4 linked regions of the Danio rerio genome follow. The protein of the gene in region 4 purifies or fractionates together with the protein of the main gene of each other region. This does not show direct contact. Links are inferred from orthologs where the notes say so. Each region holds a gene or a part of one and is shown on either strand. Other genes may lie near its edges. The genes, in order: exoc6b, exoc6, exoc7 and exoc1.

Region 1 (7,655 bases), on a different chromosome or scaffold from region 4:
AATTTCAACACTTTGAAAGTGTCTCATGGGGTCCACTCAAAACAGACTTAAATCAACACTTTCAAAAGGGTTGGCACATTGACACCGAAGTAAGGGTTAATTTTAACTCAGGGCAGAGTTAAAAAATGTAACTATATTTAACACCACCTGGTGTAATATATTATTTTATTCAACTCTCTTGAGTGTAAATATGGTAAAAAGGTCAAATAGACTGTAAATTACAAAATAAAGACATTTTATTTGAAAACATTCACAACTTCAACAATTCATTCAATTTTTAAAATGCAACAATGTCAAATATGCTTTAAATGTTTTATTAGTACAGACAGTATCAACAAAATATGATGTCCAAACTTTGTTTCATCAGAGCAATTTGAAAGTCCAATATATCGTCACTCATAGTTTTCTTCTGAACGCATAGTTTTCTTCTGAAATTACATTTTAAACAACTTGGCGTGCAAATCTTTCACTTCTGGTGTTTCCTTGGTCCTCCACATCAAACACAGCAGTTTAAATGAAGGTATAAATGCTGTAAACTTATGTGAAAACAAACTGGAGCTAGGAAATCTCATCAAGCATGTCCTGTGAATGAAGTGCTTCCCAGCCACAGGATGACCTTTTTATCCATGACGATGTAGTAGCTGCTGATCGCTCATCTGGTGGTTCCTGATGCACGGATATAGGGTGATGCTCATCTGAGAACTCTTCAAGACTCCAGCATGACTAAGAAAAATGTTTGAAAATAAAATTGCAATCAAATTCTATGATATATTTAAAAGAACATTTAAAGTAAATAAAACATTCAAGAAATATAAACTCGCCTTTTGAAAATCTTCATGATGATCCACAACTTGACTCTCCCAGCTGGTTGAGGTGACAGGATATGGAAAAGTAGAAAAAACACATACATCACTGTTGGATCTCCAAAAACAATTAGGTTAACCACTATGACTAGAACTAGAAAAACAGGCAGCTGTCTGTCCAGAATCCTGAATTTAACACAACACTTGGAGCAAAATTTAGAGGAGCTTAAAATCTTTTATATCATTTAGTGATGCTGACTTCCCCAAAATATTAGCCACAGTGTAAAAGACATTCATAAACGTACAGTTTTCTGTAAGCGTGTGCGTGCGTGTGTGCGTGTGTGTGTGTGTGTGTGTGTGTGTGTGTGTGTGTGTGTGTGCGTGTTTCTTTACCAGATTCAACTTGTTAGGCCCTTTCAGGTCCAGTATTGACACCACCTTTACTGGAGTCTAGCAGATGTTTCAGGTCCAAATATAATCTAAAATATTAGGATAAGCAGAAGAGAAAAAGTGCAAAGACAACAGCAAAACATTATTTAAGTAAAAGTTCACCCACAATACAAAACTTATCACCTTCATGTCATTTGTTATTCTCTAATGCTCTAATACCCTCTCAGCTTATTGTGAAACAAATACAGAACTTTATCAAACATACCTTCATTATTATCACCACATATGACCAAGAAGGTGTGCTTGGTCATTTCACCAACTCTGGAAATACACCATCCGTCTCTAATCAGCCACCGTCACAGGGTCTTGTGTTATTGTACAGAGAACTGTGGCTGTTAAAAAACAACACATTAGTATCAAACACATATGCATAACCTTCAGATAAAAAAGAGAGATGAACATCACAAAGTATGCCTCACACATTTTCACATATCTTTTGATTCAGATGTTGATTATTGATAATAAATCTACAAATCAAACCTGTATCATCATTAGGCTGCTCAAATATGAATCAGTTGATTAATTTTACAGACAGGTGGCTGTTTACAACGCACTAATAAAACGGAAATGTTGTGTACAGTGCATGCTAAGTTTAGTCTATAGTTCTAAGCACAATATCATGCGGGAGAAAAAGCTTGACTAAGATGTTCCTGACAACAGAAATAGCCTAACTTACTAACGTCAGACATCCCGAGTTGGGAAAAGTCATTTTCGGGGGATACAGAGTTGATTTGCGGGAGGTAGCGGGAGAGATAAGAACCTGAAGAGCAATGGGATGAGCTGCGCGCGACGTACCTGAAGAGCGGTGGGGGTGACTAGAGCGCGACGTACCTGAAGAGCTGGGAGGGATGCGGTGGAGAGGGGCGTGCAAAGTGTTTAATGACCGGGCCGGAGACGCGCGATTTCCGGGAGATGATCATTCATTTGCGGGCATCTACTTGGGCATCTGGGATTCTCCGTGCATTTGCGGGATAACGTTAGTCCCGCAACTTCCGGGAGACTTCTGTAACGTTAAATGTCTGATAAAGTGCAAACGCGGTCATTTAAAGACATTAATGTTAACATTCCGACTTTAATGGTTGTCAACACTTAATATAATTCAAGCGTACGTTATCACACGAGTCTAAGTTATGGACTAACGGTATATGGACGGCCACGAATGAACCAGTTTAAAAGGGCCAAATTAACGTACACGAATAACAAACAATCATTTGTTTCAGTCAGGAAGCCTTTTACAAGTAAGCATATGTTCATTTACTCACCAGATATGTTTTAGAAACTCTCCAGAGCTTATGGAAACCGTCCTGTGTTGCCGTTAGCATCCGGGCAGAGTAGGCTAACGTTAGGCGGCTCCGGGGATTCCCTCGCTAGTTTGCTTAGAATTAAAGGAGAAGTGTCGATTTTATTTTACAGATGGGTAACAACGCACAAAATGGCATTAAGCGTGACAGAAATGTGCTGAACATGTACATTTGATGTTTTTATGCACTATGTATGCGTGAGCATATATAAAAACATTCTTGAAAAGAAGTCAATAGTAATGCAGTTAAGCTAGATACACAAACGACCATGAATGAACCACAGAAGTTTAAAATTGTCACTCCATTCTAAAGTTATTAACTTAACAACATGTGTACAACTGTATTTCCTTAAAGAAAGTCAGTAAAATACCAACATTTAGGTAGTTTGACTCACCAGTTGCTGTTCTAAACCTCAGATGGAAAATGGTGTCTGGAAAATTCTTCAGTGACTGGGGCTGCATGAATTCCCGGATGTTGGAAATAACACCACCAAGTGTAGAAAAGATAACTCCTTGATTTCGCACTGAATAAAATCAATTCTAACTCTTATTATATTCATTTATCAAAATCTAACTCTTTAACGTCAACACTTTACTCTCAAATGCTTCAACACCGAGAATTTAACTCTGATGAATTTGCTGTGTACCTCAAACTTTTCGATAGAAATGTAAATAGAAAGGCAAAGTATCAGCTAAGCGTGACGTCCGAAGAAAAAAAGTGCTTGTACCTGGTAAGCAGTGTGTGAGTTTGTCAATAGTGGTGGCAATGTTTCTCTGCTGCACACGGCACTGCCTCAGCTCATTCATTGACGTCAGGAGCTACATAAGATGTAAGCATTCATTTTAACAATGCTTAATACTAATATAAAATTATTTTTCTAAGATGTTCTGAAATCAAAGACTAAGCCAAGCACCTCCTTGCCATCATTTTGCAGTTTCTGATTGGTCTCGGTCACCTGCCCCTGAAAAAGACAGAGCAGAAAGCAATTGAAGCAAAAATCACATGCAGGAGCTATAAAGTTTTAGGATTTGTCCAGGTATACAAACACACAAGAGGTTATTTAATCTGTCCAGATTACACTGTACTAATGCTTTTCTCTTTCTTCACCTTCAGTTTCTGAGCTTCTCCGCGCACTTTGAGCAGCTCAGTAATGGAGTCCACAAAGCCCTGGAAGTGATGGTTGCACATCTTCTCAATTTCACGGTCGTGGTTGCGGATCCGACCCTCCAGCTTCTCCATGAAGAGTCCATGTTCCTGTCCATCATAAACGGACCTTTGAGAAAGAACAAAACAAAACAAGAGTGTCAATATTACATAAAAGATACAGGACATATCCGGGCCAAAGACTCATTTTGTTGTCCACATCAAAAAAATAAGCAAATTTTTTACATTGAAAACATACTAAATATTCCAAAATACTACATATTAATTAATATGTTAATTACTAAATTTAGTATTTAACAAACAGAATGTCAACTTTCTGAAGTAAGCAGAGGACTTTTTATCTTGAATATACAGTTTGTCAGAAGTAGCAAAAAAATGTATTAAAGTCATTATATTTTGCTTGAGAAAAAATGTTAATAAATTATGACACATTCTAATGTAAAGGGGAAACATTTAGACTGTATTATGCTTTATGAATTTTACGCTTGAAAACACTTTTTAATCTTTTAAAACATACATTATATTACTACTGACTGTTTATACAGTTGAAGTCAGAATTATTAGCCCCCTTTAAAAGTTTTTTTTCTTTATTATACATTTCCCAAATGTTGTTTAACAGAGCAAGGACAATTTCACAGTATGTCTGATAAAAAAAAATTTCTTCTGGAGAAAGTCTTATTTGTTTTTTGTTTCGGCTAGAATAAAAGTAGTTTTTAATTTTTTTATAACCATTTTAAGGTCAAAATGATTAGCCCTTTTAAGCTATATATTTTTTCGATAGTCTACAGAACAAACCATCATTCAACAATAACTTGCCTAATTACCCTAACCTGCCTAGTGAACCTAATTAAGCCTTTAAATGTCACTTTAAGCTGTATAGAAGTGTCTTGAAAAATATCTAGTCAAGTATTCTTTACTGTCATCATGGCAAAGATAAAATAAATCAGTTATTATAAATGAGTTATTAAAACTATTATGATTAGAAATGTGTTGAAAAAAAATCTTCCCTGTGTTAAACAGAAATTGAGGAAAAAATTAACGGGGCTAATAATTTTTTTTGGGGGGGGTAATAATTCTGACTTCAACTGTATATATTATAAGCGACTCATTTTAAATATATCTAATGTAACTAAAAGTTAAAAGTGAAATTTTATTTCAGTCAAAAGGAAGGCATACAAATAAATTGTCTAAAAATATTTCTCCATTGTCGCTGATACAAGGCGTTTACCACAAGATGGCAGTAGAAGATATGAAATAAACATATATAAGCAAATATTTTCTTTGCCATTTGAAATCGGATTAAACCCAAGAACTGTTAAGAGTTCTTTTAAAATAAAAATAAAAACTTCTATACTTCACTGCAATGTTTCCTTTTACATAAATATATAAGATACATATATATTATGACAATATTACAATAAAATAAAGCATTGCAAAAGGACACAGTCAATTTAAATGGAGAAATTAAGAAATATGTTCATTAAAATACGTTTCTTGGATCTACAGGAAAAATATATTTAAATATATGTAAATATATAAATGCCAATAGATCAATCTGATTAATTTCAGTCCACTAGAGATCTTCTAAATGGTCAATGTAACAGAGTTGAGGAGAACGAAGATGAATCATATCCTGGGTGATTTCTACATCTACATTAATTTGGGTACATCTGAAAACAGCATATCTAAACTTGATTACATGTAAATATATGAACGCTTTAACAAACTCCTATCAGTATAAACAAAGATCTATCTTTTCAGAATCACATGACTTCACAGACCTCAGTCTTCACAATCTACACACTTTAGCAGAAAAACTTGATCATCTGACAAAAATGCTATCTCGGTGCGGCCAGAAGACCAAAACAGAGAAAAAGATGCAGTTTTACATGCATCCGGATTAGACGTCATTTCTCATGATCACATGTAACTTAATCCTGTTTAACAAACAGAAGTGCTGTCCTGATCAGTAAAATACTATCTAAATGAAGACACAAACATGCCAGCACATGCTTCGACTGAGTCTTCCTCTGGCTCAGGAAATTTCCTCTTTCCATTAGCACAGTTTTGACGTCACTGATCACCTCTTTTACAAACCAAGACTGCCGGGCAGGGCAGGGCAGGGTTGTGCAATATGACCATACATATCATATGGACAAAATAAAAAGTCTACCCTTTCATATTTCGCTCTATCATTTATATTGTTGTGTCACAAAATACATTGTTTAGAATAACACTTTATGCAGACAGAAACATAAATGCAATCTTGAAAGTACAACGTTTAGAGATTGCATTTTTTTAGACAAAATATTTATTGAATATTTCAACATTTTTAGTCAAAATGTAAATGTAATGTATATTTTTAGTAAACATTTGCCCTAAAGTTATAATATAATTTAAAATGTATTAAGACACAGTCTATCATTCATTTTCTTTTCGGCTTAGTCCCTTTATTAATCTGGGTTCGCCGCAGTGGAATAAACCGCTAACTTATCCAGCATACAGTATGTTTTACGCAGTGAATGCCCTTCCAGCTGCAACCCAACACTAGGAAACATCCATACACACTCATTAACACACACACACACACACACACACACACACACAAACACAAACACAAACACACAAACACACAAACACACACACACACACACACACACACACACACACACACACACACACACACAAACACACACACTGGACAATTTAACCTACCCAAATCACCTGTACCACACGTTTTTGGACTTGTGGGGAAAACCCACACCAACACGGGGAGAACATGCAAACTCCACACAGAAATGCAAACGAACCAGCGACCTTCTTGCTGTGAGGCGATTGTGTTACCCACTGCACCATCGTGCTGCCCCAATATATCAATATTTAATAAATTATCGTATTTAATAAATTGCTAAATTTCATATTTAATCATTTATAAAATAATATAATATAACTTATATTGTGATTTAAGATTTTGGTCACATTCCTTTACCCTACTGCAGGGTAAAATAAGCACTTAAATTCAGCTATTTTATCTGTCGTAAGAGGAAGATGCTGGAAGGAAATGTGAGGGCTAAAAAAATGAACACTGTCAGAGACAAATCAGCAGACAAGATGCAGTTAGTCATGAAATGCTTAAAAATACTCTACACAGACCAATACAATTATTTAGGGCAACAAGACATGGAAACTATGGACATCTTTTTATTATAATAGTCACAAACATCTATCTGCAACAACTTAATTTTGTTTCAATCGAGACTGAGGATGCATAATAATCTGATAAGAAATCACAATCCAGATTAATTAAAAGCTGAAATGAGCTGTTTATATAAACCTAATTTTATGCGGATTTTGAAATATTTTGTTTTTTTTAACTAAATTGTTTTTGCTAAAAAAAAAAAAAAAATAGCGAAAATGGCAAGATGCGCAAATGCACATAAAAATACAACTTAGATAGTAAGAAAATGCCCATCAAAAATGGCCATAAACTACAATAGAAATGTATTTAATGTTTGAAGTCCAACAGCTGCTTCAAAAAGTCGTGTGATTTTATTTTAACAGATCATGTGATGATAAAAAATTGGTGCAATGAGACAGCATTAATTGACAAACCAACAGACCGATCACATTGCACAACATCTGAAATGTTGTTTTGGTCATTCAAAAATTAGCCAAAGTCTGCCATGACAGTTTTTTGTGTTGTTACATCCAGAACTGGCTGACTGGCCCGGATTGGCACAAATAGATCTGTTAACCAAACAGAACTGTATGGCTGATAGTGAAAAAGCTGCAAATTTTTAAGAAAGTGTGAACTGCAGCATTTCATTAAATATATACCTGACAAAAGTCTTGTTGCCTACAAAAGTTTTAGGAAAAACAAATAATAACTTGACTGGTAGTTGATCATTTAGTATCACAAGTGGCTTATATGAAAGGC
Region 2 (7,655 bases), on a different chromosome or scaffold from region 4:
CCATAAACAAATCATACAGTAAATGAATAAAGGCAAGATACACACATAATTACCACCTGTCAATCACTTTTTTCTGCGGGACTCGTGAATAGGCAGTGACAAGACGCACAACCAACAGGAACCAGCCAACAGTATCTGAGGTGTTCGCTAAAATGACTAAGTACAAGTGAGTGAAAGATTGAAGCAATCCTCTGACTGCCTGGACCTGCTGTCTCAAGCTCATATGGCTGTGAGTACGTCTGTGTCTGTGTGGTTACGTGATGTGCATTTTCAGAGGTAGTGAGGACGGAGGGCTGCTCAGAAATGCTACACGCCACTGTGGATGTCAAATCGTTGTCGTTCTAAAATAATAATAAGACAGTGTAAACAGGGCCTGAGTGTGTACTTTTCGCGAGCGGATTTGCAACGGGGGCAGGCGGAGGATCGCGATGCCGGTGTTGTCTATCGGACGAATCGTACGTAATACGTACATAGCAGAGCTTGCAAAACTGTGTTTTTTTTTGTGGACAACACGAACGTTGTCAACATAACTCACTGGAAATCCAAAATGCTTACACACCGGCGACTTCATTGAAAGAGGAGAGGGTTTAAGCTCTGTCGACGGGTCTCCTGCTTCTGCAGTTTAACAAGCACTTCAACAAGCCTGTTTTTTTCCCGCTTGGCAAGCCAAGCTGACGTGACATGGGGGTGTGGCAGCATCGACGATTCTATTTTTTGATTCGATAATCAAAATTGAGCATAAATTTCGATTGATTTCGATTAAAAATCGAAATCGTGACACCCCTACAAGCTGTTAGTAAATTACTTACTAAATACTTAAGTATCAGTTAATAGTTTGTTTATGTTATTGGGACGTTATTCTAGTTGCAACTATTCTTCATTTATTAACTGTTAGTATACAAGATATAGTTGCAACTTTAGAATAACATCCCAATAACATGGTAACACTTTATAATAACTACACACTATAAATCAAAAAGCTAAAAAAGCTTTAGCAAATAGTCAATTCATTATTGGTCAAGCATTGACTCTACATTAATAGACGTTAACAAACACTTTATAAATGCGGCTAATAAAATTCTCTTTTCCTGACTTACAAACATATTTAAAATGTGCTTAATAATTGTACTATCATACTTAGTTAATGATTTATTTTTCATTACTAAATTAAGTATCGCATTATTTACAAACCAGTTGTATTTAAGAGTAGTTGAGGGTTTTTAGGATCATTCAGAATGAGTTTGTAAATGATTAATAAACTATTGAAATCAACGTTTATATGTTTTATTATTCAGGCATATATTAACGGTTACTATGTATAGTAATAAATGCTTTATTAACTCTACTTCATCTAGTTTTGTGACCTAATCTAAAGTGAGGACTATTTATGCTGTATAATCCCTTATAAATGACAAATAAAGGCTGAGTCCCAGCTGAACCAGTTGCCGTTTCTGTGTGGAGCTTACATGTTCTCCGTGTTTGCGTGGGTTTGCTCTGGGTGCTCCGGTTTCCTCCACAGTCCAAAGACATGCGGTATAAGCGAATTGGATGAATTAAATTGGCTTAAGTGGTTTTGTGTGTGACTGTGTGTGTGTGTGTATGTGTGTGTGAGAGAGAGAGAGAGAGAGAGAGAGAGAATGTATGGATGTTCCCCAGGACTGGGTTGTGGCTGGAAGGGCATCCGCTACGTAAAACATATGCTGGAATATTTGGCGATTCATTCCTCTGTGGCGACCTCTGATAAATAAGGGACTAAGGAAAATGAATGAATAAATGGATGAATAAAAGTTTCATGACAATCTCATGAACACCCCCTTCCTTACCATGATTATTCAATATTTTCATTCAATATCCACTGACCAACAATTGAGTGCTGAATGTGTCTGCTGATGTGGAGGGTGTCGATGGCATCTGCTCACCTGCGATGGAGTGACTCGGAGAACTTCAAGCTGGCATAAATAAACTCCTTCACTTGAGAGTAGATCTGAGGCACTGACTGGGACATGGGCAGCTTCTTTGGGAATTGTTGCTGTTTAATAAGGAAAGATTCAAACTAGTCAAAAAGAAATTACATATACAACTCATTTAATTTCTGTGACATATTTACATTGTTTTCATGCAGTTACGAATCAAACTTGTGAATCGCATTTGGTGAATACGCCCAGCTATTGATTATACCCAACAATATGGTGATGATGCCCAACTATTCTGTATGTAAAAACTGAAAACTACCACTACAAACTACAGTTGAAGTCACAATTATTAGCCTTTCTTTTTATTTTAATTTCCCAAAAGATTATTAACAGAGCAAAAAATGTTGCACAGTATTTCCTATAATACTTTTTCTTCTGGAGAAAGTCTTATTTGTTTTATTTCGGCTACAATGAAAGGAGTTTTAATTTAAAAACAAAAACAAATTTAAGGTCATTATTATTAGCCCCTTTAAGCAATTATTTTTTAATACCCTGACCTGCCAAATTAAAATAATTAACCTAGTTAAGCCTTTAAATGTCACTTTAAGCTGAATATTAGTATCTTGAAAAATATCTAGAAAAATTTTACTTACTGTAATCATGGCTAAGATAAAAGAAATCAGTTATTAAAAATGAGTTATTAAAACTTTTATGTTTAGAAATGTGTGGAAAAATATTATTTCCATTAAACAGATATTGGGGAGAAAATATACATAAGGCTAATAATTCAGACTTCAATTACCCTCTACTGCAGGGCGTAACCATATGGCAACATGATACTCATGTTCATTTCCCTGCCACTGTTTCTTTAAGACCAACATAATTTACTTTTTTAGTAGCTTTTAGAGTAGCCAATGATGTGCTTTGGTTAAGTCACATGACATGCTGTGTTTTTCTGTAGCACAATTTCTGACAGACTGGCGTTTATTGTGAGTAGCTGTTAAATGCAAATGTAAACGTCAATAAAAACAAAGGATCAAATTATGTAAGAGCCACAAAAAATCAGAAACATCACCTCCAGTAAGTTATGATGACATATTCACAACTGAATTTTTTTAAATTAAATTAGTTTTTTGTAAATCGATCAAATGTGTATGTTGCCAAATGGCAACACTGTGCAATAGTGGAACATGCAATATTGCAATGGGTTAGCTAGCTAGTAAAGTCAGCTGTGAACTTTTAAGTTGTAACAATATCAACGTGAAAGCTAGTAATATAATGTTGATTAGTCATGTGTTAATGGCATTTGCATTATGGTTAAAATCTAGTTTTATTGGCAATACTACTTTTGAATAGATATCAATACAGGGAACAGTGTATTAGTGAGCACCACCATGTTCTATAGCAAGTGAAAGAGGAAAAGGACAGAACTGGCTCTTCCTGCAGATGAAAGTGAGGGTGAGATGGGTTTTAGTGACCAAGAGAATGATGCAGACTGGACATTTGATAGAGACAGTTCAGGTAAGTTTGTTTAGAGGTAAATAAGACAGGCGTAGTATAGTATATAGTATAATATATATAAACATTGTTAGCTAGTAGCTACATTATTCTGATGCATCTGGATATACTAGACTTGTTATTTATTTGTTATAATATTTACATTTCCTGTATGTTGTATACATGATAATAAAATATTATGATTGTTTTCAATAATATTCTGCAAAAAGAATATAATAAATGAAAGCTGCTGGAATATGAGTTGTGGTAAAGTATGTATAAGGTGTCATTTATTAGTTCAGTGTTAAAGCTCATAGTGCTGCAACACCCATTAAATTATTTTAAAAAATAATAATAATAATTATAAGGAAAGTTTTAAATTAGAAACTTCTAAGTTAGATCAATTGTTGGACGTTGTTGCCATATGGCAGCATTTCATAAAGTACCTTAAAAAAATTTTTTTTCCTATTTTTTTTTTTAGTGAATCCATTTTAAGAAAAGAAAAACAGTCAAATATATATATATATACATATATATATATATATATATATATATATATATATATATATATATATATATATATATATATATATATATATATATATATATATATATATTACAGATTTATCATAATGCGTGTGGTAGTGGGTTAAAAGTACGAATATATAAATGTATGAGAGCTTGACAAACCTTTTCGATCTCTGCATCATGGAAGGGAAAGCGACTGACCACGGCCTTATACTCCTCTTCAGTATCCACAGGAATGGGGCTGTAGTTGTCCTGCTCAAAAATATCCCTGTTTTCAGAAAGGGAGAGATATATGTCAGTCAATAGCCATATTATGAACAATTTCAAATGTTGAAGCTGAAGTTCCTCTGACCTGAACACCAAGGCCCATTTCTTGAGCAATGTTTCATTGTATTGATCTCGAACCTCAAACAACAGGTCAAAAAGTCTGTTCACAGGGAAGCCATAACCCTACAAAAACGAACAAACAAACAAAAAAACAAACAATAATATTGAGTGAGCAGAGCAAATCTATCAAATGAAAAGAAAATACAGATTTTATAATTTGACTTAATTTTGAAAGCAAGATGGACTTGATTTGATCTAAACATTACTGGACAGTACCTGTAAAGTGTCTGCAAAAATAACTATCAGGTTCTTCAGTTCTAGGACCAGGTCAGGATCGTTGCAGTAGGACTATTTGAAGAAAAAAAAAAAAGTCAGAATTAGCACATTTCTGTGATTTTTGAACATTAACATTCTATACAGTGGTCCCTCGCAATAACGCAGTTCACTTTTCATACATTTTTTTTGTGCAATTTGACATGCTTTTTTTTTTTTTTTTACAGCGTATTATGTTCTGCGTCCTGACTGGCTGTAGACCATTGTCAATCAATCTCTTCTGTGCAATGTCTCCTGTACTGTACAGAATGCGTTCAGCTTGCCAAATTTACATAAATCTTGGATCGCTTGGACTCCGAAGATGTACTGTATGTTTAAAAGTTTTCTCCCCACAATGTCAACAAAAAGTTCTGCACTGTCAAAGACATGCGGCAGAAAGCACCCAAAAGAAAAAGGAAGATGCTAACAAAAAGTTGAACTTCTGGACATGTTAACCCCAGGCGTGGTGTATGATAGAAAGTTTAAGTCGACGTCATGCTCGCTCGAATAAATGTCTACAGTAAAGCTGTACGGGTCGCTTGCATATAATTTGAGTAGCACTTCTCACAAAACAGATGCTTTATACACAAATACTTGTTTATAAATGTTTATTACTAACTTTTCTATGAACATGATTTGATTATAACTGCAGATCAATCACAGTGCAAAATAGCCTACGGTAACGTCTGCAATTATTTTAAATAAATATATAAATGCAACATAAATGAACACATACAGTCCCTTACAGTCTACGATATATTATTAATTACAGAAAAACTACACACAGCATACATTTAGTACTTATTTGAGTTTAAAAACACACGCAATATAGCCCAGTCAGTGCAAACCTCTCATCTGTGTCTGTAATCTACACCAGTACATGTAAGCTCTGTTAGAGAGTCAGTTTGTCATTCCCAGTTTATAATAGTCCAAAAGACGAAGATAAACATGGCAGTTTGTTCATGATTCAGGTTGCTAAAACACTTTTGATCCTGAGTCTTGTCGGGCTTCTCCTTTTTTCGCGCTTCACTCTCGCGCTTGTCCTTTTCTTTCTGAATGGATCAGATGACGGAGACACTTCAATAATCATGCACACGTTATTATCATCAGCTCAAGAAGTTCGTTGAATCAAATATAGACGCGATCACACTTTTAGACGGGCTTTTAAAGCAACAACAGCAGACGGCAGATTTTTTTTGCTTGGCTTTGTGTCTGCTCATCAAGATGACGACAAGGTTTGTTTGAGATTGCGTCATCCATGGCTCGTCATTATATGCATATAGTATTTCCATGTAATCTCTCGGCAGTGTATTAGAACATGGCGGATCCTTTGTTTTCATTCTGTCTAGCTCCACGAGCTTGTAAAGTATCTCTGTAACCAATCAGCGTTTAGCTGCGCGTGTAGCTCCACCTTTTGGTAACCTTTCTCGTTTTGGTAACCTTTCGAAAGGGTGCCGAAAAAGTGGTACGGTACGGTTTGGTTCGGTACGCTTTTGGACAGTGGAAACGGCCATAAAAGCGTACCAAACCGAAGGACCGTAACACTCAGTGGAAATGAGCCGTAAGTGACAAAATCTGTTTTCTCTATAATTAATACTTTTTAATACTTTTCTTTAACAAAGAATCAGTAAAAGCATGTTAAAACTTAGTTTTTCCAAAGCTAAACATATATAATACATATGCCACTACATCATTTATTTCCTATGTGATTAACTGTATCATGGAAGTTCAGCTGCAAGATACATTTTAGAGGGGATAATGTTTTTTGACTTTCAGTTTTCTGATATATTACCAAATATATTAAGTAGCGTACATTTTTTTCAACATTAAAAATTCTAAATGTTTCTTGAGCATTTCTTTAGATTATTTTTGTAAGACTGAAATTACACTAAAAACTCAGCTCGACATGAATAAATGATGTATTAAAACTAGGCATGGGACGATAACCGTTTTCAAGGTATACCGCAGTTTGGAAAAGTCAAGGTTTTTAAAACCGCCAAATTTTTTCTGATATTCATTCCTAGGGTATGTGTAGGATTTATTTTTTTTATTTAAGATTTTATTTATTTTTATTTTACACATTTTTTGTTCAGCTTTTTAGGACAACAGTATCTCCAGCAGAAAAGTTATCCAGAGATGCCGTTTTAAATTGCAAAGAAAGACAACAGAAGTCAAAGATTCATTTGAATTATTTAGATTGACATGTTTACAACTCCAAAAAATTATAAATGTTTCTCAAAATAAAATATTTAGTGTTCAAAAGAGGAGAAAAAAAATCGTTTCTTACCCAGACATTTTAAAAAAAATTATTTTAGAGCAGTAATCACAAAACCGTAAACCCGTGATATTTTTTATTCAAGCTTAACATACCTTCAGAATCTTATATCATCAGAATCTTATAACCTAATTAAAACACAGAAAACTAGAAATAAATGTTTGTTTACAGCCTGTCTGAAGCCTTATATCAAAACCATTTATAAAATACCAAAATGACTGCAGTTCAATGGTTTTAAGATGAATGAAATAAATTAAAATGACATTGTAATCCCACATAAAGCTCAATCTTATTACTGCAAAGTCTATGTTAATACTTCGATGAGAAATGTATATAAAAAAACACGTTTTTCAATTAGAGAGTACAATTCAACAAGAGAAAAAAAAGCTTTAATTGATTCCAAAAGAGGATCCAATCTCGATTGCATCACATTTCTGTGGGCCAGATTAGTTTAGGCTCAGCATTTCCCTCTAAATGGGTAACTCACAGCCAGTCACTTATTGATCAAATACACTCAGGTCTTAATGAGTCTTTAGCTTACATTAGCATGTAAATGTGGGGGTCCGGGCCTCCCCCGTGGCTGATGGAGCAAGGGGGAGGCCTGTCTGTGAGGTTAAATAGGAGAGAGCAGTTCTTGACCCAGGCTGGGGACTGATGACTGACAGAATCAGTCAATGTCTGTGCACACAGGCCTGCCCACCCACTGGCACAGCAAAAACCCCACAGCAACTTGGGGCAGCATTTTTTTAAACAGCAGCGCTGATGATCTGAACCAATTCTTGAGGATCCATCAAATATACTTG
Region 3 (8,170 bases), on a different chromosome or scaffold from region 4:
TTTGCTTAAATAAGACTTTTATTTTGAAATGCACGAGCGACAACTGTACCGTTTGACATGTGAAATTTCATTTAATTATAGCAACAAATATGTCAAAGCGCGAGTACGACCACGAATATGTAAATAATGGATTTGCATACATTGATGACAAAAAAAAGCCTTAAAACCTCACTGTGTCATATGTAGTGTTGTGCTTTTACAAGAGCACTTGTAGAAACCAAACATTTGTCGTTTTTACTTTTAATAATTTGAGACATTTGTTAAATGACAATAATAAAATATTGTTTATTTGTAAGTCTTTGTGATTTTCCTATAATTTATCTGTCACTACTTGTGTATGTTAATAAATAAATACAAATTTATTATAATTACTAAAATTTTATTATAGTCCTAAAAATTTGGACCGCGGGTTGATGACCATGTAAAAATGTGGGTCCCATGGCCAAACCAGTTGAGAACCACCGATCTAAAGGGCCTTTGCCTTTCATATAAGACACTTCTGATACCAAATGATCAACCAGAAGTCAACTTATTATTTGCTCTTCCTAAAACTTGCATAAGCCACAAAACTTTTGTCAGGTATTTTAATTACAACTACAAGAGAAATATTTCACAATTATAATAAAATGACAATCCAAACGCAATTACTAGAACAAAACTTTTAATGTAATCCGTTACACAAGTGGATAATGCTATAATAGCTCGGAGTGAATTGGGAATTAAATATATGATAATAGATAACCATGTTGTTGTTGTGTTTTCAGATAAAGTCCTGGGTAATCTGCAGCTGAATCTGTCAAATAAAGCTAAAGTGTATGAAGATCCAGCCCTGCGCGCCATTTTCCTTCATAACAACTACAACTACATCCTCAAATCCCTGGAGAAGTGAGTTTATTCATTACTGATTCTGATTCTTTACACCGCTTCATCTCAGCGACCAATCAGAAACCAGACCCTCCTCTCAGCACTAGCCAATCAGAAGGCAGCTCTCTGCATAATCATTCACACTTCCTAAATTATCTCCTAATTTAACAAGTCTCATATTTCACTCACACAGATATACTCGCATTCCCTCTCACACACTTACTGTATGCTCTCTCTTACTCTCCCACACACACACACACATGTGCATACTCATACAACCTCACACTTATGTGAGAATGAAAATGGAAATGAAGTGGTGTGTTTGTGTTGTTCAGGTCAGAGTTGATTCAGCTGGTGGCTGTGACTGTGAAGAAGGTGGAGAGTTCCTACAGAGAGCTGATCGAGCAGGAGATCCAGAACTACCAGCGCAGGTACAAACACACACACAGCATCCGATCACAAGAGTCCGTCTGAATGATCAATCGGTGAATGACCTTTGACCTTCCCTGACCTGCAGCTGGCTGAGGGTCACAGAGCATCTCGCAGAGAGGAACATCCCAGATTTCCAGCCGGGAGCCAAAGTGAGGAAAATCACACACATTTACCGTACTTTCACACCGAACACAAATGGAAAACACAAATAAAAAAGGAATGTAGTGATTGCTAGATTGACTTGTATTTCATTGCAGACAATAAAACAAACATTATTGAATGTGTTTTCAATATTTTTATTGTTTACAAAATAAACATGTAATCCAATTTTGGTTCTTGCAACACATTTAAAAGAAGTTGCAACAGTAAATAATTTACCACTTTGTAATGTTTCCGTTGTTTTTCACTACACTTAAAAGACGTTTAGAGACAGAATGATAAAGTGTTTCAGGTGTAGTTGTGTTCCAATCTTCCTGCAAACAAGCGTTAAGGTGGACAACAGTACGTGATTTCAAAATGCACCACGCATTCTCTATTGGAGACAGGTTGGGACTCCAGGCAGGCCAGTCAAGTACCTGTATCCCCCGCAGCCAGGACTTTGTAATGTGTACAGAACAAGTGTGCCGCAAGCCTACGTTTGAGTGAAGGTCTCGGCCGTTAGATCGCCCCCTGGGGGCTGGCTGCAGTACAAGTCATAAAGCCCGCCTCCTCCGTGTTAATGAAGTAGACTTGAGCCCAAATAAAAAAAAATATTACACTTGCAATAAAATGTCCCGAAAGATAGTTCTGGTCGATTAAGGCACTGGTTATTGTGCTGAAATAGGTGCAGATCTTCATTTTTGTAAACAGTTTGTTTTTAGCAGTAATTTAATGCTGGGCGTGTCATCGTGATTGACAGCTGTGATTGACAGTTTCTCAAAGCGCGGCGTCTGAGCTTCGGCAGGAGACTGAAGTAGACTGAAATGTTATTATTCGATTTCTGTGTTATTTTACCATGACAAAATGAGTTCAGCAGTAAACTACAGTTTCTGACATACATGATCCTGGTGGAACACTGTTTATTCGCTAAGTTCAGGGCTTTTTTCGGGCTTTATTAGTTTGCTGATACACGCCTAGCCACCCAGATAGCAAAACACAGTTCCGGCTAGATTCTCGCCTGCCGGAGACTTATCTCTTAGAGCTCAGACTGACTAATGTTACCTCTGCTGGACATACTCCGGATGCCTGGACTCACTACCCAATTCCAGCCCGAGTCAATCGAGCCAGATGCAGTGGCCGAGCGAGCCGGCGCTGCCGCATGCGAGCCGGAATCAGCCCGCGACGCCGCGAGTAAGTTATGCGCTGCGGCCTGGAGCTGGCGCGATTGAATATATAAAACCCTCATGTTTGTTAACGTTATTACATCCATTTGTGTTGATATGACAGCAAACGCATGCTGAGAAGTTCAGGGGGCGTGGTTGATTTTACATAAAGCGTTTGATTGGAAGCTCGACTCTGCTCATTTTCGCGGCTCCTCCTCTGGCTCCATCAGACAGTCCTTCTGCGCATGTCAAGGCTCCAATTTCAGCAGTCTTTTGCGACAGTTTGTGCCCGTCAAGCAGGCGTTTTGCCCTCAAGGCGTTCAATGGGAAAAAGGGCTGTCGCGTCGTCCATATTTTTTACAGTCATTGGTACAGAATGTGGTTTTGCATTGTCTTGTTGAAATATCATCATTAATCTGAACTCTTGTTTGTGCAGCTGAAAGATAAAGAACGACAGATCATCAAGGACAAGTTCAAGGTGAGACAAACTCATGCATACTCTAACTATATACATCATATTTACAGCTTTTCTCAGTGGTATGGTATGTCCCCTACACTTTTAGAGACCGACCATTCAGAAACAGGTGATTAATGCCTAGTTCAGACTGCGTGATTTTAGCCCCGATTTTGGCTCACAGACATGTTTTGAGAAATCGCCGACAAATGCCTGAAATCACAGGCAAATCGCTGCTCGTGCACGTGAGTGACAATCACACAGTGTGAACTATCAAAGACGCGATCTGAGAGAATGCTGAATATCTGGAGCTGTCGGCGATTCAAATCATGCAGTGTGAATTGGGTTTTGACTGAAAATAACATCAGCGATTGCCTACAGCCAGGGCCGGAGCAAGCTGAACTGCCGCTCTAGGCAGAGGACGATCACGCCGCCCTCAACCCCAATGAGAAAACGAAAGTGACCGGTTATGAAAATGAAGTGAGGTGTCGCGGACCTCTTTTCCAGCGCACTATGTGCGGATATAGCTGAGGACGCGCGGGTGCTGAGGGAGGGAGGGAGGTGTCGCGGACACTGCGCTCTCTATTCTGCCACCCTATGCGCGGATAAATGAGGACGCGCGGGTGTCGCGGACCTCAATTCTGCCGCCCTATGCGCGGATATAACTGAGGACACGCGGGTGCTGATGGAGTTGTCGCTGACGCCGCCGTCTCTATTCTGTCGTCTATGCGTGAATATATTTGAGGATGCGGGTGGTGAGGGAGGTGTCGCGGACATAACTGAGGATGCGGGTGGTAAGGGAGGTGTCGCGGATGCCGCCCTCTCTATACTGCCGCCCTAGGCGGCCGCCTAGGTCGCCTCTATGGACGCGCCGGCCCTGCCTACAGCCAATGAGAGGGCAGCGTTCACTAGTGTGTGTGTATAGCTGCTGCAGGCCAGCGGGAGGCTGGGGGAGAAGTTAAAAGCGCTCATTTTCGGTTTATTTGGACCCACGAAATGGAGGAAAAACTAGTGGAGGTTTGACAGGACTCGTGTCAAAACCGTGTTTGTTTGACCTTTCATACAGAAAGAAATTAGTTTATTATTAACGTTGAGGAGAAATGGCTAATTCCCTTTAAACCCAGGTGAGCGAACATGTACATGTTCTACCCCATTAAAGGCTTCTTTCTCATTATGTAGTCAATAACAAAAGATATACGACGTGTTTTTGGCTGTGAAACGTCGTTTGGATGAAGTTGTCGGCGATTCTTCCTTTAGTAAAGTCATGCAATGTGAAAGTCCCTGTCGCCAATCCATCTTGCAGTGTAAACAAAGCAGCGATGAAACGCTAGCCCAGATAGTCATGCAGTGTGAAAACATCTGTGACACGACTACTTTAAAAATCATGCAGTCTGAACTCGGCATAAGACTGAAAACCTCAGGATTTCATACAGCCGTCCCCCCCACTTTGAAAATGTCCGCTACACCCCTGAGTTTCCGCGCTCATCTGCTGCTCTTGACGGCACTTTTAGACGTCTCTTCATCTCATTTTTCATTTGATCAACACTTAAGTCTATTTAACTGATTCGATTTTATTTCCGTTATAACATCTATGCTGTAAAAGAAACCTGATGTAGTTGAAAACAGTCACATTAACCTTTCACCGGAAGTTTATCGGTGGCTGAAAAATACTTTAGCTTATGCTTTTTTTTTTTTTGCTGTGAAATGTTGATGATCTTAATATGGTTCGTATCAAACGATGATTATTATTTCAAGGTGGACTGTTGTCTCAGAGCTGACAGGGTTAAAGTGTATGTGTGTGTGTGTGTGTGTGTGTGTGTGTGTGTGTGTGTGTTTAGGGTTTTAATGATGGTCTGGAGGAGCTGTGTAAGATCCAGAAGGGCTGGGCAGTTCCTGATAAAGAGCAGCGCGACACCATCAGACACGCTCAGAAGAGGGTCGTCTCACTCACTTATAAAGCCTTCCTACAGCGGTGAGACACACACAAGCACACACACACACTAACTGCGCATACATAGACACACAGACACAGACTCATACAAGCACACTCACAAACGCATACATAAACACAATTCACACACACACATGTACTTGCATACACACACACACACTCATACAAGCATATACACACACATACACACACAATTTACACACAAATGTTCTTATTTTTATGAGCAATATTACACGAGTAGCAGTGCGATGTGGCCGCAGGCCGAGTGCCTTAGTGCCCCCACCAGTGCCGATATACAGCCACACACATACACAATTGTGTATATAAAAACAAAATCAAACATGGAGAGTCTTAAAAACCCTTTTGTATGAGGAACTACTTTCCTCCGCATTGGATTCAAATCATAATCTGACAGTTAAACAGCTGTTAAAACAGTTAAAGGCATCTTTTAAACTTTAGATCTGTAGTGTCTGCTTTTTGCTGGCTGTATGTGTGCGGAGTAATACACAAAGGGTAAAGAGGCTGTAGAAGTTCTAATATTGCAGAATATCGCACGGCTTTCAGCCAATCAGATTTGAGAACCAGACAGAACTGTTGTATAAATATATATATACTATACATACTGTATATACTCACACACATTTCCACACATATACTCACAGACATTGTCAAAAACACACGCACTCAATCTCTCTTTCACACAGACACACACAAACACTAACACGCACTGTGGTTTATGTTCTGCTGGTTGTTTTTACAGATGTGCGAACATTTCATTCACCAAGAATCCAGAGAAATATCACCGCTACTCCCCGGAGCAGGTGGAGGACATGATCGACCGGCTGTTCGACACTTCAGCTTAGACACGCACACACACTCTCTCTGTCTCTCCTGCTTCACTACACACTACTCCACTGTAACGCCACTGCTCACTTCTGCTCCTGTTTTTGTATAAATGTATTTATGTATATGTCTATGGGGGATTTAACTGCGGTAAATAAAGAATTTCCTCCTAAATCCTGCGCTGATGTGTGTTCATCAGTTACATTTGCTGATTTATTTTCATTTCATTTAATGAAGTGTTATTAGACAACGGCTATTTCAAACACAGAAACACACATGCAGTTAATGAAATGTCAAATTCTCATTTAGTTTTTTTAATTATCATTACAATTTGATGTGCAGTGCTTTTAGATTTATTTAAAACTATTGCATTTAACAAATATTTACTTCATTCATTCATTTTCTTGTCGGCTTAGTCCCTTTATTAATCCGGGGTCGCCACAGTGGAATGAACCGCCAACTTATCCAGCAAGTTTTTACGCAGCGGATGCCCTTCCAGCCGCAACCCATCTCTGGGAAACATCCACACACACATTCACACTCATACACTACGGACAATTTAGCCAACCCAATTCACCTGTACCGCATGTCTTTGGACTGTGGGGGAAACCGGAGCACCCGGAGGACACCCACGCGAAGGCAGGGAGAACATGCAAACTCCACACAGAAACGCCAACTGAGCCGAGGCTTGAACCAGCGACCTTCTTACTGTAAGGCGACAGCACTACCTACTGCACCACTGCTTCGCCCTACTTCATTATTCGTTTTAAATTATTTATTAATTTTTTTTCTCCTGGCATAAAAGACAAAATTGCACAATTTGAAAATTTGTTTTATTTAATTTCTTAATTTTTATTTTTTTAAATAAATTTTATTATTTTGGCTTTTTTTTTTGAAAATATTGTATTTTTATAATATTTATTTTAACTATAGTTTTAATTGTTTTAAATTTTTTGTTAAAAATTTTACTTGTTTGAAAATAAACTTTTCAAAAAACAAGCAAAGATACAGTTATTTATGTGTTTTGTTTTTGTTTGTTTTTTTTACAATACCTACTGTAATCGTACAAATCTATTTCTCTATCAATATTAACAATATACACTCACCGGTCACTTTATTAGGTACACCTGTCCAACTGCTTGTTAACTCAATTTTTTAATCAGCCAATCACATGGCAGCAACTCAATGCATTTAGGCTTGTAAACATGGTCAAGACGATCTGCTGCAGTTCAAAGTGAGCATCAGAATGTGGAAGAAAGGGGATTTAAGTGACTTTGACCAATAGAGCAGCTTTGGGATGTGGTGGAACGGGAGATTGGCATCATGGATGTGCAGCCGACAAATCTGCAGCAACTGCGTGATGCTATCATGTCAATATGGAGCAAAATCTCTGAGGAATATTTCCAATAGCTTGTTGAATCTATGCTACGAAGGATTAAAGCAGTTCTGAAGGCAAAAGGGGGTCCAACCCGGTACTAGTAAGGTGTACCTAATAAAGTGGCCGGTGACTTTATTTATTTTATATATATATATATATATATATATATATATATATATATATATATATATATATATATACGATTTTTTTTTTTAATTACTGTTTAAAACAAAACAAAACCGATATTTTTAGTCTTGCCAAAGTGCGTCTTGTTATTTTAGTGTCTGTCAGAGATGATTAAAGGTGCTTTCAGTCACTTGGGTGTGGAGCTTTATATTTAACCCTTAAGCCTTCATCACTGACCTAAAACCAGCTCTGAGTCTGTGAGGATGTGAAAACGCCTCTAAAATCAACGAGTCTAAAGCTCAAACACACTGAATCATATCCGGACCATCCTGAAACCGATGTTCGATGGACCAACACCTAGAGTTATTACTCATCATCAATTATGATGAGGAATCATTGATTAGCTCAGTGGTTAGCACTGTGGCCTCACAGCAAGAAGGTCGCTGGTTCGAGTCCCGGCTGGGTCAGTTGGTGTTTCTGTGTGGAGTTCTCATGCTCTCCCCGTGTTGGCGTGGGTTTCCCCCACAGTCCAAATATTAATGAACTAAATTGGCTGTTGTGTATGAGTGTGTATTGTGTTTCCCAGTACTAGGTTGCAGCTGGAAGGGCATCCGCTAAGTAAAACATATGCCAGAATAGTTGGCGGTTCATTCGTCTGTGGCGACCCCTGACAAGGGACTAACGCGAAGGAACATTAATGACTGTTATTATTTTAAGGTCACAAGTGGTTGTGTAAGCATTTCACTGCATATCATACTGTATTTGACTCTGTATATGACGAATTCAATTTACATTTATTCTTCAACCTATATGAAAGGAAG
Region 4 (7,655 bases):
CGTTCAAGCAGTTCCTTCTCAATGCATCTATGAAACATCCACATTGTAAGAGCAAACACTACAGGAACTGCATGCTGACCAGGCCATATCTTCTCACGAGCATCCCATAAATCCATCAGAGATTGAGCAAAACAAGGCAAATGAAGACCCCTTCACACTATCAGGGGACTAAAAAAAAAAAATCAACAGCTGCTACTGACAAGAGTGTGATGCTGGCTGGGAGGTTTATGGGGCGACCATCTTAGAAACCTAAGATGAGAACGTCTGGATTACATCACCATGAACATGCTTTAATGGAGAAAGAGAGAGAAGCAGCGTTGATGAGACAGTTAGGTCTAAGAAGGTGGAGGTGCGTGGCTGTTAGGGTGGACGAGTCAAACAGGGTGCTGGAGTGGCCGTACTCACAGGGAGTGACAGACAGGACGACCTATAGAACTGAGGGATGGTCATTTTGAAGTGACTGAAGTGGTTGAACTGACAGAGGAACAGAGAGCACAGGGAAGTAAAGTGATATAGAGACTGGTGGCCAAAACAGGAACACAGGAGAAAGATTCAAACACACTGAATAAAAGACTTATTGGAAAAGGAAAGGGAGCCTACTGGTTTTTTAGCAATGGCACACATTTTATTAAAAATTTTTTTACCTGTACCACATGTAATAACGTTACCTGGTGCACAAACACATTGTTGAGGTGGTTGGTGAGACGACGGGCAAAAGTATCTCTGAGCTCTGAAAACAGATGCTGCTGTTGCTTGATCGCCATCAGCTTATCGTGTCCTGGAATTACACAAAATCATCAATGCTGATCTGCAAGTGCTGCTTTCACACAGTTTGAGGTGAAGTTTGAAAGCAGTACCTGGTTTGAGAGCAACATTCATGCACTGTGAAAGAGCCTCAGAAGCGTTGATACAGGCCTCGATACCCTTAGGAGAGGACAAATCTCCTTCTTGCAAAGCCTTAATGTGCCCTTTTGAAAGATCCATGTAGTTCTAACATGATGAAAAGAAGATAAAAAAAGGTAAAGAATAATTGAAATAATAGACAATATTCATTCATTCATTCATTTTCCTTCAGCTATTTATCAGAGGTTGCCTCAGTGGAATGAACCGCCAACTATTCCACCATATGTTTTATGCAGCAGATGCCCTTCCAGCTGCAACCCAGTACTGGGAAACTAATAGACAACATCAAAGTTGTAATTAAACTGTCATTTTTTTATTGAAAATTTTTTAATCAGATTTTTTTTGGATTACAAAGGCAAAGTAAAGAAAATCTAATTATACAAAAGAAGTCTAGGGACAAATAAATGTTTATACAAGATTCCACAATTAAGCCATTAACTATTGACTATAGGGGTCCAGGGGTTTGTACATTGATGAAATGTAATCTAAAATAAAATAAAATAAATAAATAAAAATAAAAAAAAAATACTTTTTAAATGAAGAAAAAACATTACATAGTTTATATGTGGCTTAATATGCTTTGACCATTAAACAACACAAGCTTTATTTTTCTGGTAAAAAAATTATCACTTTAAATACAGGAAAAGCAGAGTTTCCCAAACTAGGGTCAATAAGGGAAAAGTAAAGAATGAGAAAACAGTAAAAGAAAAGGTTTTATTACTGAATTATTAATTTTTTTTTCCTTAAAATCTAAACTTAAAAATCTAGATTTGAGGTCAGTTTAATTAAGTTTTCAACACACTTTAACAGATAATCTGAATCTTACTGAGAGTGAAATTGCATGAAATCCATTTGTATGAAATCCACATGTTAAAGAAAAGCACATCAGATTACAATATAAGGTCCCTTTGGCAAAGTCTAACAGATTTTAATTTTAATTTGTTTTCGTGCTATTGACTTGCTAAATCCTAATAAGACGAGGTTTTTAGTACTACTGATATTGTATGTTGTCTGTCTTGTGTGTGTTGTCAATTTTGTAAATCTATTGTGCTCCAGAACAAATTGCCCTAAAAGGGGACAATAAACAGTAACAAAAAATAAATAAATTAAATAAAACTGTTCATAGCCAACCAAATATTCATGTTCTTTAAGCAACAGTTTCTGATAGGGCCAGACGGAATCTGCGGACGTTGTATTAGCTATTTCTGCTGAGAATTTTGGTAAAAATCTGCAGATTTCAGCAGAATTATTTTGGCAGTATCATAACTAAAACCTTAATATGTGAAATAAAAATTATATCTTTTTAACTTTTATTTAATGTTTAAAATGCAAATCCAATTAGATCCACTTTTTGGCAAACAAAGCAAATCTCTCATTTAATATCTCTACTAAAAGACTTATTGCACATAGATCAGATAAACATTTTCATATTAGTCAATAACATTACAGAAATATTTAAAAAACTGAATAAATAAATATTTACACACATTTACTCAAATAAATAAACAGAATTATTGATGGGCTAAAAATCTGTGGAAATCTGCAAAAAATCTGCGGATTCTGTGTGGGCCTACTGATGGGTCACAATGGATCACTAATTTTCCACCCTACCAGTATATGCTTGTTGAGGATTGCATCGCCAAAATTATGATGTGCACTTGTATACCGTGCCCTAACATACCACTAGAAACTGTATCTCATCCAACAGTTTGCCATTGTTAGTGTTGCTGATTTGGATGAGACGGTTGCTCTGTGAGATCTGGTCCATCTGCTCCTTCACGCTCTGCAGCATCTCCTCATAACTGAGCAGCTTCCCCTCGATGGTGTCCACCTCCGCCAGAGCCTGGTCCAGCAGCTGCATCAGGGTGTTCACCTGCTTTTCAGACGCCATGATGGACTGGATGTTAGCCTGATCAAAGAGGAAGAGATATTATTAGTCACCATCTCTAAAATCATACAACTGTCAACCAATAATCAAACTACGTGCAACTACTGTATAATTTACTTGCTAATCAGACAAGCTTTAAGCCTCACTCACCTTGACCTGTAGATAATTATTACACTTGGCTCAATATAGATAAAAATCCTGATGACTGGTGCAATCAATACTTTTCAGGTGCTAACACGACATAAATCCATCAGACTAGATCAAACTAGATTTTAAACAGCTTGGTAAAACAATGTTCTAATAACACTCAAGATTTCGGCAACAAGCGATTGCATCAAACACAATGCGACACAACAGAAACATCTAAATACTAGCCATTCATTTAAATATCAGCCACTGCACTGCCAACAATATGGAAGGTTATAATCTAACTAATATGTATTTAACTTCATTAGAACATTATTACATAGTCTGAGTGACAGATGTGGTTTAAGTGACTGAGTCACAGTTTAGACTTCTGCAAGTTTTGTATGGCAATAAATGTCACATATAGAGATAACCAAAATAAATAAAATAAAGCATATAATCTCTACTTGAGGTGATAATTGCCATAGTAGAATTGAATATGCTGTTGTTTTGCTGTATAACGTGACCGACAACTCAATTACAGTAATTAGAGTATTAGTAATTAGCTACTTTACATCACTGATTATGGGTATTCTCTAGCTGTACCCTCGATATTGAGGTGAATTGTGGGATTTTCTGAGTGCACTTCAGAATGTCTATGTTGGCTTCGGACACCTCTACAAATGGCTGCTCCCTTGAATGTGCATTAAGTGTATCATTTAAGGGTCTAGGGGGCAATTTCTGTTACAGCCAAGGAAATATCTGAACATACTCACCCCATCTAGGACCTGAAGCTCACGAGACAGTTTCTCTGCGAAGGCCTCAGCGTTGGAAATGGCGTATTCACAGACCTCCATCATGCCCTCAATGTCCTGCTCCTCACGGGCATTCAGCTCCTGATAGTCATCCAGAGCGTCTTCATCTCCACCAGCAACACTCTGACTCTCGCCACTCGGAACCGACTCTGGGAAGAAGAAGAGACAGGGATCATTAAAAAAAAGTGTTTATATTATACATTATGCACCACTGTTAAAACGTTTGGGGTCAGTGTAAATTTTGTAAAAAAAATAAATAAATAAATAAAATACTTCAGAAGAAAAAAAATACAAAAGTGACAGTGAAAACATAAATTCACAAAAGATATTTTATGTCAATGTAGCTATTTTATTGATGCATTTATTAATATTAACAAATGCAGACCTTTTTTATTAAAGAAGCCTAAAGAAACAGATGAAGAATGAGGTGACACTAAAGACTGAAAAAATTAAGCTAAAGATTTGCTTTGTATGTGAAAACTGTTATTTACATTGTAAAAACATGTAAATATGTAAAACTGTGTATATAATATGTTACATTGATAATACTTTAAAGCAGGAGTGTCTAAACTTGGTCCTGAAGGGCCGGTGTCCTGAAGATTTTAGTTTCAACCCCATCTTTTTAGGTATACTAGAAACTTCCAGGGAGGCGTGTTGAAGGAAATTGGAGCTAAACTATGCAGGACACTGGCCCTCTGTGACCGAGTTTGGACACACCTGCTTTAAAGTGATAGTTCACCAAAACTGAAAATTGTGTCTGAAAATCGTATAATCTATTCACCCTTAACTTGTTTAAAAATCTATTTGAGTTTCTGTCTTCTGTTAAACAAATAAAAAAGATATTTAGAAAAATGCTGGCTTCTGGAACACATTGACTTCCATAGTGGTCTTCCACAGGAGAAAAAAACTCATAAAAGGAACGTAAATGATGAGGAAATTTTCTATTCCATTTAAAACTATCACTTTAAACAATTTAGCTGTTTTTCCAATAAATAAAAAGAACTTTAGTGAACATATCAGGTATTTAAAACATTTCTTAAAACTCTAACCAACCCCAAACATTTGAACAATAGCTTAGATATGCATGTGAGTACATAAACTAATCTACTGAACAAATAAAATGTAAGTAATAAAAAAACAAGCACACATAAAAAATCTAAAGGGTGAGCACTGTCTAAATATATGAAGATATCAGTAGTTGAGCAAACTAATTAATTGGCGGAAAATAAGAGCATTAATGAAGGGGAAACAATAAGAGAAGATGGAAAAAATGGAGAAGGAAATGGAAGAGGATGAAAGGTGGAAAAAAACAGCGTACAAACCTTCAGCTTTAGGAAGCTCTGGCCAGTGAGAGATTTAGAGAGAACAGCACAGATCTGGTTAAAGCATTAAGGGCACTCAAAAAGACACATTGCAGAACCAAAAGAGACCCAAAGAGAGAAAAGAGAGAACTAGCTGCAGGAAAACAGAAAGAGTCCCTACCACTGCAAATGTAATAATTCTATGTAACAGCTTTAGATTTGTCATATGGCTTTAAGGTAACTGCATCTTAAAACACAGTGGCTGTTTAACATGCTATTACTCCACCACACCACCAGGAGTAGCAGCGAGTCACACCTTCTAGCAGCTGAGGGCTGACGTTTACAAACTCCACTTTCTTGCGAAGGTAACGCTGGTTCAGCTTCCAAATACACGAGATGAAGGAATTCTTCTCTGCTGTACTGCTTGCCACCCAACGATAAACCTTCTCAAAATGCAGGTCAAACTCTGGGTTTTCCTGCATGAAGGAAAAAAAATAAGATATCAATTACATACAGGCTGATGCCCATTGATTATAAGTTTTAGATTAAAAAAAAAGTAAATGTAAGAATAAGAATAAGAATCAAGAAAAAAGTAATTGCTGTAAAGTTCTACAAGTGAACTTAGGAATGATATTACATTATATAGAATAACATTACATTATAATGCACCGTATAATTAAGTGTTCTTAAATAATTAAGATTTAAAGAGTACATAAATGTTTAGTTAGTCTGGATTTGTTTTAACTGTAAAAAATCCAAAGAAACATTCCTTCACGGTTTCTGGCATTGTGAAGAAATCATCTCTTTTTGTAAGAAAGCACATCATTTTCTACAAGGACTCTTTAAGATACAATTGAGTTTTTCTCTGGAATTGTATTTGTTATATGGTGAAGTAGAGAATAGGTTGGACTCCCACACCAAGCATTTGTTTTAATCTTGGTCTATTTGGCAAAGAAAAGTAGACTTTTATTGTGGTCATCTCCTCAGGTACCCTCCTATAAAATGTGGTTGTCTCAAGTGTGTATGCTACCACTTGAGAAACTCATCTATGACATACATCAAAAGTCCAATGACTTTTGGCAGCTATGGACACCTTTTTGGCCTTTCATTATTATTTTCACCAGATTTTCTCTTCTATGGTTTATACTCATAGCCTGACTGTATCATCCTGTTTACTTGTCTATATAATTTAATTTTTTTCCTACTGTATAGCTGAGACTGTATTTGTATGTGCTGATGTATTAAAATAACCGATGATAAAAAATAAAAAAAAAACGTTTAGTTAGTCTAAAAAAATATATACTAAAGAAGTGTGATAACTGTTGACTGAAACTGATTTTTCCATTAATATAAATAAAGATGTAATCATTTAATACAAATTAGGTTGAAAATCCTAATTTAAAATGTTGCTTTGGCAACTACCTGAAATAAGTTTAAGCACTAAAATGACAAATCAACAAATAAAATAAGTGACATTTAAAAATAAATAAAATTATTATTTTTTATTTTACAAATGTAAATAAATCTCAAAATATGATACAAAAGCCACTAATGACAATACATTAATAATCCTAAAATATACCTGTATCCAGCATCATCAAACAACCGGTAAGATAATAATATCAATATGTAACAGAAATGTGATTATTTGCATTTATGTCATGCTTGAACAGATATATAACCCACCAGTCCTACCATCCAACCCGTTCTGAGCTGGGATCGAACCAGCGATTTTTTTGCATGGGAGTCGGTGGCTCTAACAAGGTTTCATACACATTTTTACTACAAAAATTCCAGGACTTTTCCATGATTTTTCCCAAGACTTTCAAGTAAATTCTTATGACCTAATGTTTCATGCAATGTCTACATATGCATGGTAAAAAACAATACATTTGTATAATACCAAAATTATTACGGCATATACTAAAACACGCAACAATCAAATTAGTTTCAATTTATATTTATTAATTCATTCATTTTCTTTTTGGCTTAGTCCCTTTATTAATCTGGGGTTGCCACAGCGGAATGAACTGCCAAATTATCCAGCATATGTTTTACGCAGTAGATGCCCTTCCAGCTGCAACTCATCACTGGGAAACATCCATACACACTTATTCACACACATACACTACAGACAATTTAGCTAACCCAATTCACCTATAGCGCATGTCTTTGGACTTGTGGGGGAAACCGGAGCACCCCGAGGAAACCCACATGAACACAGGGAGAACATGCAAACTCCACACAGAGATGCCAACTGACCCAGCCGAGGCGATAGTGCTACCCACGGCATCGCCATGACACCCAATTTACATTTATGTCTATGTAAAATTTATTTAAGCTGAAACTGCACTAATAATGTAAGAGTATTTGATCAACCAAGGACAGAAAAGAAGTAAAGACAACGAACCTATATTAAAGTATACAGATATGTGTTGTCCATGACTTTTCCAACTGTCAAAATTCCATGACTTTACCAGGTTTTCCATGACAGTATGAACCCTGTCTAACAAGGAGACTAAAGACCATGACCTCTAGCGTCTGTTGCTAGAGCACGTTTTGAGGTCAGAGGAGTGAGGTTTACCTGCACAGCTCTTTGCTAGCTGGCCTCCGCTACACTTA

The links.
Region 1: the proteins of exoc1 (region 4) and exoc6b purify together in Homo sapiens (affinity purification with mass spectrometry; 3 studies listed by BioGRID and IntAct, counting the BioPlex papers as one, with this or other methods). This does not show direct contact. The link is inferred for Danio rerio from reciprocal best matches to the Homo sapiens genes EXOC1 and EXOC6B.
Region 2: the proteins of exoc1 (region 4) and exoc6 purify together in Homo sapiens (affinity purification with mass spectrometry; 4 studies listed by BioGRID and IntAct, counting the BioPlex papers as one, with this or other methods). This does not show direct contact. The link is inferred for Danio rerio from reciprocal best matches to the Homo sapiens genes EXOC1 and EXOC6.
Region 3: the proteins of exoc1 (region 4) and exoc7 purify together in Homo sapiens (affinity purification with mass spectrometry; 4 studies listed by BioGRID and IntAct, counting the BioPlex papers as one, with this or other methods). This does not show direct contact. The link is inferred for Danio rerio from reciprocal best matches to the Homo sapiens genes EXOC1 and EXOC7.

The regions. Positions count from the first base shown.
Region 1 is NC_133182.1:25,147,247-25,154,901, reverse strand, and holds part of exoc6b (exocyst complex component 6B), read right to left. Parts: intron 3,828-7,655; coding exon 3,662-3,827; intron 3,516-3,661; coding exon 3,468-3,515; intron 3,373-3,467; coding exon 3,282-3,372; intron 3,009-3,281; exon of another isoform or gene 2,949-3,008; intron 2,629-2,948; exon of another isoform or gene 2,516-2,628; intron 1,586-2,515; exon of another isoform or gene 1,459-1,585; intron 1,283-1,458; exon of another isoform or gene 1,197-1,282; intron 865-1,196; exon of another isoform or gene 1-864. UniProt on the Homo sapiens protein: Component of the exocyst complex involved in the docking of exocytic vesicles with fusion sites on the plasma membrane.
Region 2 is NC_133187.1:9,574,781-9,582,435, forward strand, and holds part of exoc6 (exocyst complex component 6), read right to left. Parts: intron 4,614-7,655; coding exon 4,542-4,613; intron 4,389-4,541; coding exon 4,291-4,388; intron 4,207-4,290; coding exon 4,101-4,206; intron 2,030-4,100; coding exon 1,920-2,029; intron 1-1,919. UniProt on the Homo sapiens protein: Component of the exocyst complex involved in the docking of exocytic vesicles with fusion sites on the plasma membrane.
Region 3 is NC_133187.1:48,895,012-48,903,181, forward strand, and holds the end of exoc7 (exocyst complex component 7), read left to right. Parts: intron 1-764; coding exon 765-885; intron 886-1,199; coding exon 1,200-1,295; intron 1,296-1,381; coding exon 1,382-1,445; intron 1,446-3,033; coding exon 3,034-3,075; intron 3,076-4,889; coding exon 4,890-5,023; intron 5,024-5,762; coding exon 5,763-5,865; 3' UTR 5,866-6,019; downstream 6,020-8,170. UniProt on the Homo sapiens protein: Component of the exocyst complex involved in the docking of exocytic vesicles with fusion sites on the plasma membrane.
Region 4 is NC_133195.1:28,554,022-28,561,676, forward strand, and holds part of exoc1 (exocyst complex component 1), read right to left. Parts: intron 5,510-7,655; coding exon 5,350-5,509; exon of another isoform or gene 5,325-5,349; intron 5,073-5,324; coding exon 5,055-5,072; intron 3,882-5,054; coding exon 3,694-3,881; intron 2,813-3,693; coding exon 2,585-2,812; intron 991-2,584; coding exon 858-990; intron 779-857; coding exon 669-778; intron 475-668; coding exon 406-474; intron 1-405.